Linked DNA regions of Caenorhabditis elegans. The protein of the gene in region 3 purifies or fractionates together with the protein of the main gene of each other region. This does not show direct contact. Each region holds a gene or a part of one and is shown on either strand. Other genes may lie near its edges. The genes, in order: orc-4, orc-3 and orc-2.

Region 1 (3,754 bases), on a different chromosome or scaffold from region 3:
ATCAGCTCAATTTCCAGATTTGAAATCAGAATTTTTAATTCTTTGCGGAATTTCAAAAAGTGAACTTGAATTGTTCATTTTTTGTTTTCAAAATTAGAAAATCGTGGGTTTTTTCTGCCTTTTTCAAAGTTTTAGCAGAATTTCTACCTTTTAAAATCAACAATTTTCCATTATACGAGGGAGAAGTCGTCTCGACAATTTTACGAATCTGTTTGCTGATTTCCTCGGGTTTCCACGTGTCTTCTACGTCACAATAGTAACCGAAAAGCATCAGGAATTGCGCGGCCAATTGTTTCAGAACGACGTAGTGACTTGTCTGAGAATATGGACTTTAATGGGGGTTGAAAAGCCGAAAAATATGATTTTATTTGTTTTATTTTCATTTTTGGAATGAAAATGTTATCCAATTTAATTATCGTAAGATTGTACGGATATCTCATGCTAAATTGGCTATAAAATCATGAAATACCCTCGCATTTTATGAGAATTAAATTGGATAACATTTTCTTTCTAAAAAGAAAATAAAAAAAAACAACTACAATTTTTGATGAAAAAAATCAAAAAAAAAGGTGGAAAATTTGAGTTTTTTCAGCTTTTTCGTGAAATTTTCAGCTTTTAAGAATGCTTCTTCACCAAATCTCACCTCAAAAACCGGCCTAAGCCATGTCTGAAAGTTCAAATTCTTCACAAATCTCTTATAGCACTCGGATTCTTCGCATTTTGAGCCGCCAGGAATCAAAAACTGCGTCAACGCTGCACAATACTCCTCATAATCGTGTGTCGCGTCAAATGACACCTGAATTTTCGGAATTCTCGACGTCGCCTGTTTCTGAAGGTTCTGAGCGAAATCGTGTCGGGAAACGGAGAAAAAGACGAGCCACGAGAAGTGTGTCGCCTTGTCAACCATCGTGTAGAGGAACTTTTGCTGCTGTGGAGTGATTAATTTGTCGGCGTCTCGCACTAAAAACACAAAATATCCTTCGTCATCCTCCTTTGCGAGTTCCTGCTGATAATTTGGATCGGCGGCAACGAAGCCTGCGTTGATTACTCGTAATTCCTTGTGATATTTGTTGAGAACCTTCCGAAGTGTGCTTTCTCGGCCGCAATTTCGTTCTCCTGCAATGAAAATCGATAAAAAATTGTTGAAAATTCAATATTTAAATGGAGAAAACTGCGAAATTTTGTATAATTTTGAGTACATTAGATGACGTTTCAATAAGGAAAATGAGCAAATTAACAACTTTATTTTTAAAAAATCAACAAAAAACCGTGCCGCACTGTCATAATGGGCTCAAAAGACCGAAAATTAAGAGATTTCTCGCAAAAATCTAAAATTTTAGGCAAATTTTAAGCCGGAAAATGAGCCGAAATATGCATTAAACTATATTAAATTATTAAAAACTATGTTCGAGCTGAAGCCAAAAGATAAATTAGGAGAAATACCAGATTTACCAAGATTCCGCTTTTTTTCGAACTTTTTCGGTCGTTAGAGCAGATTTTGAGGCGACAATAAATTTACCTTCAAGAAGAGCACATTTTCCATCTTTCGACTGCAGAAAATCATAGACAATATTCTCGATTTGCCTGAAAATAGATAAAATATTTGGGAAAATCACAAATTTTCAATAGCAAGTCCAGTGGGGCGCGCTTGCATCAGGCACTCACCTCTCTTGTTCCGTTAGTCCGAAGACCTGATCGTCGAGCAAATCAAGAGCTCGCCGAGCATTTTCCGCTACAATTTCTTGATCGGAAGGTGATAGCATTCTGGGAAATGTTTAACAAATTATTTTGATAAAAATTTAGAAGAAAAAGTATAAAAAACAGGTGGAAAACTGCTTGGTGATTGAAATGACTCCGGTAAAGTCACAGCAAACTCAAAGTCCATATTTTATTTTAATTGGAATTTTAATGCAAAATAAGTCAAAAAAGAATCTAAATAGAACGTCCTTGGAGGATAACACATAAATATAAAATTTAAATTGAATAAATCGATTTATTCTTCTCAATCGCCGCTTTGATCGCCTTTTCAGCTTCCATCGACGTCATTCCCAGCTTCACACGTCGATTCATCATTCCGTGATCTCCTTTCGACAGATTTATCAATGAAGTGCTCGCCAGTTGAAGGAGCATTCCGTAGGCGAAGCTATCGGTGGCCGGGCCGATTCCAGAGACTTCTGAGCAGATTATGCAGTAGTTTTTGTAGATGTTTGCGAAGATGATCTCCTCTTGTTCGCGGGTCTACAAAATATTCAATTTTAGGAAATGTTCAAATTTCAGAACAGTTCAAGGTTTTTTGCACAAATTTTAAATGATTTCCTTACTAGTTTTTTCTGAGAAAATTTAAAAAAACTGGAAAAAAGTATGGAAAAATGTGGTGATTTTTTGTATAAAATAGAGAAATGAGTGGAAATTATTGAAAAACTTGGAATTTTTTCTTTGCACACTAACTTTGCTCCGAAAATTAGTAAAAATTCTAAAAAGCGATTTTCTTTCTACAAATTCAAATTAGCCTTAACCATAGATTCAATTGTCCGGAACAATGTGAATTGATGAAGCCTTAATCCCTTTACAAGACGATATTTAAGAGGTTCCAGCACCGCATTCTGAGCAGCAATCACATGCGACAACTCGAGCTTTTCCGATTTTCTCTCTACTGCAACACGAATCGCTCGACACAGAAAATCGAGAGCCTGCCGTAAGTCTCCAGTGTTCATAGCGACCTTCTTGGCGACAAGTTCAACAGCTTTCGGATCAATTAAATTGGATCCTTGGAGCCTCGCACGCACAATTTCCTCGATTTGCTCGTGTTGATAAGGCTGGAATACGAGGCGACGTTTGTCAAGTCGACTAGCATTCCGTTGGCAAAGCATTCGTTCCGGGAAGTCCAAAGTGTTGGCAATACCGATAATAGTGACTTTAGATTGTGGAAGTGCTGTCCATTCAAAGATATCATAGAGAACATCTTGTTTTCTATTGCACAGACTATCCAGTTCATCGATTAGCACAACAATTGGCGGTCTTTTCGGATCTTCTCGCTTGAAAATTGAGTTGAGCTCTTGGCGAGCAGCGGTAGCTGTGATTTTTGCTCTTTGAGGCTTTTTCGAGATGTTGTACTCTTCTTGGATGCTGAAAAATATTGAAAATTTCAGTATTTTTGCGTACAAAAACGATTATTTTACAAAAAAACCGATTTTTTAGGGTTTTGAAGAGAAAAACCCCAAAATTTTCAGATTTTTGAGGTTTTTCTAACATCCTATCGGGAAAATGTTCAAGGTTTCACGAAATTCACTACTTTAGATCATTTTCATAAAGTAAAAACTAGCAGAACCCACTGAAATTCGTTTTTTTATCGACATTTTAAAGTTACTTTTTTGCGTTTTTTTATAATTTTAAGTCGAAATTTTTTTAAAGCAAGGAAAATACGTCTTTTTAAGCAGTTTTTTGACAGTTTTCAGCATAATATTTTCTTTAAAAACTTGCGATTAAGCTGAAAACTGTCTAAAAATGCTCAAATTGATCCATTTCCAAGCTTTAAAACAAAAAATTCCCCGTTAACTTATGAAAAAACTCAGAAATTAGCCAACAATTTTCGAAAAATTCGAATTTCGGAGGATTCCGCGCAAAATTTTGAGCATTTTCCAATGAGTTCTGCAGTTGTTAGATGGAAATTGTTCGATTTTCAACTTTTCCGAGACGTCCTTACCCGTTGTAAATCTCTACGAATACAGTTTTTTTGAAGATCATCGCATTGACC
Region 2 (3,754 bases), on a different chromosome or scaffold from region 3:
ACCTGTAAAAAATCTTCAAAATCGATAAATTCGGTAAGAAATCGAGTTTTTAGCAGGTGGCCGAACTTTTGCATTTCGTGAAAAGTTCGGCCACCTGCTAAGATTTTTTAAAAAATAAATTTTTATAGATTTTTAAAATAATTTTCATCGATTTGGACGATTTTTCACTGGTGGCCGAACTTTTGCAGTTGATAAAAAGTTAGGCCACCACTATTTTTTCAGCGGGAATTCAAAATTTTTGCAGTTTTTACACGAAAAAATCGAAAAATTTGAATTTTCCTTGATTTTCTCCAACTTTTCCGAGTTTATTCTTCAATTTTCAAGCGATGGCCTAACTTTTCTACACTGTGCAAAAGTTAGGCCATGGCCGAAAAGTAGTCGAAAATCACCCTAAAATGCGTCAAATCCATCAAATTTGCCGTCTCAAGTCCGCAATTTTGCGTAAAAAACGCTGGTGACGTCGAGACACACGTCATCAGTTTGATACGTGGAATTAGACGGCGACACGTGGAATTTGAGAAGAGAAGAGAGACGAGAGACGCAAAGAAATTGGGACGGAGAGATTCGAATTGACGAATTATGATGACGTGGCATGTTGTTGAGGACGTGTTCTGAAAAATTTGAAATTTTTTAAAAATATGGTGCGTTGCGGTCGCGTCGCGGTCTGGAAAATTTGAATTTTTTAAAAATTTCGATGCGTTGCGGTCGCGTCGCGGTTCGGAAATTTGCCTTTTTTTCGTTTAAAAATCGATAGTTTTTGGGAAAATTTGAATTTTCCTGAATTTTAGGTGCGTAGCAGTCGCGTCGCGGTTTGGAAATTTGGTGTTTTTCGTTAAAAAATCGATAATTTTCCGGAAATTTTGAATTTTAAATAAATTTGGATGCGTTGCGGTCGCGTCGCGGTTGACGGAAAATCGATTTTCTCGACTTTTTTTTTTTGAATTTCAGGTGCGTTGCGGTCTGGAAATTGGTGTTTTTTTCCGGAAAAATCGATTTTTCCTGGTTGTCGAGCAAGTTCAAAACCAAAAAAAAAATCGAAATTCGTCATGCGTTGCGGTCGCGGTCGCGGCTACCTTCTCCAAAATCCGATCAATAATCTCGTGAATCGCGTCGTTCTCCGTCACCAAGTGATCCCTGACTTCCAGATTTTCCGTGGATTTTTCCAGTAATTTCTGCCGAAAATCACCAATCAACCGGGAAATATCCGTAAAATTACACTGAACCAGAGCACATTTTAACGTCCCAATCGGCTCATTCGGCGAAAAAACCGAAATTCCCTTCGTTTTCGACGATTTTCCGGGTTTTTTAAGGATCCAAGTGGCGATTTCGTTGGTTGCCGTGTCGTAGATGCTCGCCGTGGTGTGAGCCATTTTTTCGTCGAATCTCGTGACGTCATCGACGAAATTTTTGAAAAATCTGGAAAAAAAACCGTTTTTAGTGAAAAATTACGTTTTTTTTCAGTTTACAGTTTACTTCAAATTCAAACTTAATAGTGTAAATTAACAATTTTCAGTTGAAATTTGTTTAAAAACCCACCTCCTCTCCTGTTCCATTGAGCAAAACTCAAAATCCTCGGGAAACTCGATTGCCTCGTTGATTTCCGCCTTTCCTAGCTTTAATTTCTTGTTTCCGCGGTGAAAAGTGATGCCGGGCGTCATTTTTTGACTGAAAATTGGCAAAAATTGATGGGAAATGGCTGAAAATCGACGAAAAACCCATTCAAATTCGAATTCCGCGCCCAGAAAAAACTGAAATTGTACAGTGGAGCGCGCTTGCATTATTGCATTTTTAGGTGAATTGTACCGATTTTACCGAAAAACAGAGGTTTTCCGTGTGAATTTTGGGTTTTTTCAGGTAAAATTGTTGAAAAAAGACGTAAAATTTTATGAGAACTGCGTTTTAAACCCCTTTTCTTGTAAAAAACCGGAAAATTTCGTTGAAAAATCGATTTTTGCGGCAAATTTCTTAAAAAATCGAAAAAATGCTTCAAATCTTCAATTTTCGCCCGCGAAAATCGTCGAAATATCAGAAAAAATGCAATAAATTCGAATTTTTAACACAAAAAGCGCTAAAAATTCAAAAATTTCATCGAAAAATTGATTTTTGCGGCAAATTTCTCCAAAAATCAAAAAATGCCTCAAATTTCCAATTTTTGCCCTCAAACCTTGGAATATCGCAAAAATAAGCATTTTTTCGAATTTTCCACAAAAAAACCGCTAAAAATCCAAAAATTTGGCCAAAAAATCGATTTTGGGGCCAAATTTTTTCAAACTTCGAAAAATGCCTTAAATTTTAAGTTTTTGCCAGCGAAAATCGTCGAAATATTGAAAAAATTCGCGTAAATTCAAAATTTTCACATGAAAACCACTGAAATTTCAAAAATTTTGTCGAAAAATCGATTTTTCTCTCAAAATCCTCATTTTTTCGCGAAAATCTTTTTAAAAACCTAAAAAAAATTATTTTTTTTATTTTCGAAAAATCAATTTTATTCCAATTCACAGACCAAAAAGATTCTACAGAGAGATAAATAATAAAAAATCAATTTAAAAAAATCGATAATTAGCAGGTGAAAACGTGTGGGCGGCTCGGTGTAGATAGAGAAATCTGAAAAAAATCAATAATTTTTCCCGAAAAATCGATAATTTTGGGTCGATGATAGTCAACTAACTGATCAACACACACTGACAAAATTTCATAGATCGGCGAACAAGATTCCGGGGATACAGAAACCTGAAAAGGGGGCGGGGCCGAGCGAAAATTGGGCTTAAAACGGCCTATTTTCAGGCCCAAAAAATCTGAAAATCTGTAATTAGAGGGGCGGTCCACTCACCTGCGAATCGCTGAAGGAAACGTACTTTTGGTGGGGAGCTAACAAGAGAAGATTGTGCAAAAATTTGGAGAATTTTGGGTCCCGGCACGACGGCGGCGGCGGCGGTCTAGTGGCGCTGAAAATTATCGATTTTCGAAGAGAAATTTCGGGAATTTATCGATTTTCTGGTATAAAATGTGGAAATTTATTGATTTTTTACAGGAAAAATGTGAAAATTGTTAATTTTCCAGCCAAAAATCGAGATTTTTTCCCGAAAAATTTGAAAATTATTGAGATTTTAGTGAAAAAGCCGAAAAACATCGATTTTCGAAGAGAAATTTTGGGTTTTTTATCGATTTTTTACAGGAAAAATTAGAAAGTCAGTGATTTTTTAGTTAAAAATTAGAAAATTATCGATTTTTCAGTTAGAAAAGCCAAAAATTTTCGATTTTTACAAAGTCTTGTTCGAAATTTATCGATTTTCCAGTGAAAAATCAAAAGATTATCGCTTTTTCTAAAAAAATCCCCAAAATTTATCGATTTCCACTTGAAAATCGGTATTTTATCGATTTTTCAGGGAAAAAAGCAAAAAATATCGATTTTTGCAGGTAAATCTTCAAAATTATGCAATTTTCAGTCAAATTCCATGGTTTTCATAAATTTTAACTGAAAATTCTGGTTTTGCGGTCATTTTTCGCGAATTTTCAGTTAGGCTCCATGTTTTTCATGAATTTTGGCTGAAAATTCTGAATTTCCGGTTACTTTTCGCGAATTTTCAAATCAAATTCCATTTTTTGGCTCAAAATTCTAATTTTTATGTCATTTTTCGCTGATTTTCAGCCAAATTCCACTTTTTTCATGAATTTTGGCCGAAAATTCTGATTTTCAGCCAAAATCCCGTGAATTTACGGAATTTTGACCGATAATTCTGATTTTTGGGTAAAT
Region 3 (3,754 bases):
AAATTTAATGTTTTTAGTGGGTTATAATTCGAGTAAATGCCATCAACTGTAGCGATTTTTTTAAAATTTTTTTGCCATAAATTTGACTGTTTTTCAAAATTGTTTTTTTTTCGATTTTTTGCCGTTTTCAGATTAAATATTAATTCGATTTTTTTAAGATTTTCTTATTTTCTCTTATTTTTCTCTCTGTCAAATTTTTATTATATTTATGAACAAAAAACATACTAAAATATATAAATTTCTACAGAAAAAAATAATTTTAAATAACAAAAAAATATAATTTTCTGTTTTTCGAAAATTAAAATTTTAGATACCCACCGAATTCCAGATGAACGTCGAGTAAATGTGATCAACTGTAGCAATCAATTTCACCGAATCCCGATTCTCAAGAAGTTCGCAAAATGCTTCTTGATCACTTCTGAAATTAATTAAAATTAATTTTTTATACATAAATAAAAGCGAATTCCCCTCACCTCCAATCAGGAGCTTCAATATTATCAATGATAAGAATCAACTGTTGGCTATTCATTTTTCTGCGAATAGATCGAGCCCAACTAATCGTAGATTGGCCTCTCTTCACATTACAATTCAGCTTCATATTCTCATTGATAGCTCCAAGAAGAACTTTTACATTGAGCCCATCTTTCCGTGCATCCACTCTCATATATGTATAATCGGATAGCTCATTCTCAAATTCTGTGAGAACATCACGCTTCGAACCGACACCGTGCAAAAGAATATTAAATCCAGCTGCTAGGTAAAGCTTCCATTTTCCGAAATCATTATCCGCGAGATGCTCCAATCGTTTTTCGAATTCCGTGTTATCTTTTTTGGTAATATAATTTCGAAGTCCAGGGAGATCACATTTTGTGAAATCAGTGATAGCATTACTGATCTCATCGTCTTCCTCAATTTCTTCAGTATTTCCATTTCCAGCACGTCTTCCACGACGGGATTTCGCATTATTCATTCGTTCTGACGCCGATTTTCCTTGCATAAAGTAATTTTCGATTGCTGATTGAGCCATTGATACAGTTTCATCCCTGGAAAAATGATTGATTTGCTTCGAAAATGTACTTATTTTTAGCTAGATGGAAGATTTTCTAATTTTTGCGCCAAAATTCCCGGTCTCGGCACGACAATTTTTTTTGAATTACAAACGGGTGTGCGCCTTTAAAGAGTACTGTAGTTTCAAACTGTGGAATTTTTATCGATTGTTCGTTAAAATTCATGCGCTTTTAATTATCCTAGTTTTTTGTTTATTTAAAAAAAATTTTAACAAAAAACAATGAAAAATCGATGGAAATTCCGCAACGAAATTTTGGCCTACCATTATTAAAGGCGCACCGAATCATTCAGATGAGTCTCGGCGCGCGAAAAACTTTTAAATTTTATGGTAGTTTTTTACTTTCATTTTTCAAGAAATTACTCCGTTTTTTGTATTTAGTTCTCCTTCTATTATTCTATTAAAAAACCGGAAAAATTTAAAGAAAAAGAAAATACTACGATACTGTTTTCCGCGCAGAGACCCGCCTGAATAGATCTGTGCGCCTTTAAGAACACATATTGTGATAATACAGCACTCCTTATAGACGCACCCCCGTTTTGTTTTCAACAAAAATTGCCGTGTCGAGACCCGGTTTTGCTCAAGAATTCATCTGGATAATAGATACATACTCGAAGCCCAGTTGTTCCAAATCTTCTTCTAAATTTGATTGCAAATTTCTAGAAGCATTCTCTTTTCCATTCGTCTTTTTCTGTCTGGATCCTTCTTTTTCTGGAGTCGATTTTTTCACAGGAACGGCGGCACTGGGCTGGACAGTTGCTCGTTTCAAAATTTTTGGCCGTGGCATTTTCTGAAATTAAAATTGAAAAATAGATATTTAGATTCATGCAGGAAATGTTAAGCTTTAAACTGAAAATATAGTTAGGCGTTAAGAAAACGAACCAAAAACTCAACAAAAACAGCACAAAATCAACAATTTTTACAATGAAAACACCATTTTATCCGAGGTTTATTCATTTTAATTCACAAAAGAGTATTGGAGAGATTATAAATATCACATTTTAAATTAAATAATTTATAGAATTCCATTTACTTGAGAAGAGACCATTTGAACTGCTCGTTGGCAGATTTCATGAACGAGAAGCCGATTTGTGATACGGATTGATCGGAGAATGAGACTTCGTCGGATTTGAGAGCGGTTCTTTGGACGACAGCCTGGGCGTCAGTTTCCATGATAATTCTGTAATAATTATTTTAAATCAGTTGAATACTTTTAGAAATAAAAAAAAATAACCCTTCATCACAGATTTCGTCAATAATCAGCATGATAGTGTCCATGGAATCGATGAGAGCCTTCTTCTCGACGTTTTTGCGAAGAACGACAGACACAGCATCGTAGAGACAGGTGAGAGTTGCGTCGAGGAAAAGCTCATTCTCGCGGGTCGATCCGAGCACGTAGAAGTACAGATCAACGTTCGAGCGGTACAAGCAAGTCACTCCGTCGAGAAGCAGGATATCGGCTTAAAATGTTTAATTTTTATTGTTTTCATCAAAAAAAAATCAGCCAAACCTGAAGTGTTGCGGGAAGTTTTCGAGAAGAGACTTTTCTCGAAAGCTTTTTGCTCCTTGACAGTTCCAAAGGTTGTACGGTCGTAGTACTGAAAATCGATATTTTTTCGAGTTTTTTGTATGGTAATTGTGAAATAAACGACAAACCTTGGCAAGAACACGGTTTCCATCCTGATCAAGAATCACAATTCCTTTGATACTGTACAGAGAAGTTGGATTCTGAAATTTCGCTTTTTAGTTAAAAAAAAAAAACTTCAATAATAAGCTGCAAATGAAACTTACAGTGTCAAAGTCTGCCATCTTATTGCAAATCCTCTCTTTTGCTAATATTACCTATAAAATTAAAAATTTATCTCTGAAAAACAATTTAAATGGAGGAAAAACATTGAGAAACAAGATAATCCACGTCAATAGTCAATGAAATTGAGCGCGTAAATCGACATGTGATCGTGGCGAGACCCGAGGTGGCTGGCGGCCGCCGGCCTAGGTTTTCGTGTAGATTTACGAGCCGATTTGTTTTCGCAATTTTTAACAATCGGCATTTTAATTAAGCTTAATAACTACATAAATGTAACTAGTATTTATTTGTATTATTTTCAGATAAAATGGGAAAAAAGCAACATCAGAAAGATAAACTCTATCTGACCACTTCTGAATGGAAATCGATTGGAGGACATAAAGATGGTTTTTATTTAAACACGAGTTATAAATAAAAACAAGATTTAATTTCATATTTCAGATACTGGAACAAGACTCCAAAGAGCACAGTTCAAAAGGTTACCCATCAACCATTGCTCGCTGTCACTTCTACCGTTTGAAGACCCAGTTTGCGCAAGATCAGGAGAAATTTTCGATTTAACGTAAATTTCTGTTTATTTTTTTTACTTTTTATTAAAAAATTTTCAGTGCTATCGTTCCTTACTTGAAGAAGCATGGCAAAAACCCGTGTACAGGAAAACCGTTGGTTGCCAAGGATCTAATCCACTTGAAATTCGATAAAGGAGAAGATGGAAAGTTCCGATGCCCAGTTACATTCAGAACATTCACGGACCACAGTCATATTCTGGCCATCGCTACTTCCGGAAACGTCTATTCTCATGAAGCCGTGCAAGAATTGAATTTAAAAAGAAATCATCTCAAGGATCTTCTAACCGATGTTCCGTTCACAAGAGCTGATAT

What was found.
Region 1: the proteins of orc-2 (region 3) and orc-4 purify together in Caenorhabditis elegans (affinity purification with mass spectrometry, with the first as the bait; one study listed by BioGRID). This does not show direct contact.
Region 2: the proteins of orc-2 (region 3) and orc-3 purify together in Caenorhabditis elegans (affinity purification with mass spectrometry, with the first as the bait; one study listed by BioGRID). This does not show direct contact.

What each region holds. Positions count from the first base shown.
Region 1 is NC_003281.10:10,644,180-10,647,933, reverse strand, and holds the start of orc-4 (ORC (Origin Recognition Complex) subunit), read right to left. Parts: upstream 1,765-3,754; 5' UTR 1,764-1,764; coding exon 1,666-1,763; intron 1,585-1,665; coding exon 1,520-1,584; intron 1,118-1,519; exon of another isoform or gene 1,117-1,117; coding exon 644-1,116; intron 317-643; coding exon 148-316; intron 1-147. Other genes in the region: orc-1 (Origin recognition complex subunit 1), read right to left, coding at 1,975-2,238, 2,517-3,126, 3,704-3,754.
Region 2 is NC_003281.10:1,206,044-1,209,797, reverse strand, and holds the start of orc-3 (ORC_WH_C domain-containing protein), read right to left. Parts: upstream 1,666-3,754; 5' UTR 1,659-1,665; coding exon 1,537-1,658; intron 1,417-1,536; coding exon 1,074-1,416; intron 612-1,073; coding exon 390-611; intron 1-389. Other genes in the region: Y119D3B.12 (LUC7 related splicing factor homolog), read right to left, coding at 2,937-2,945.
Region 3 is NC_003280.10:10,872,033-10,875,786, reverse strand, and holds the start of orc-2 (Origin recognition complex subunit 2), read right to left. Parts: upstream 1,857-3,754; 5' UTR 1,854-1,856; coding exon 1,678-1,853; intron 1,044-1,677; coding exon 474-1,043; intron 419-473; coding exon 319-418; intron 1-318. Other genes in the region: copz-1 (putative coatomer subunit zeta), read right to left, coding at 2,096-2,246, 2,301-2,526, 2,577-2,664, 2,723-2,794, 2,858-2,875; cyn-4 (Peptidyl-prolyl cis-trans isomerase 4), read left to right, coding at 3,181-3,259, 3,315-3,435, 3,482-3,754.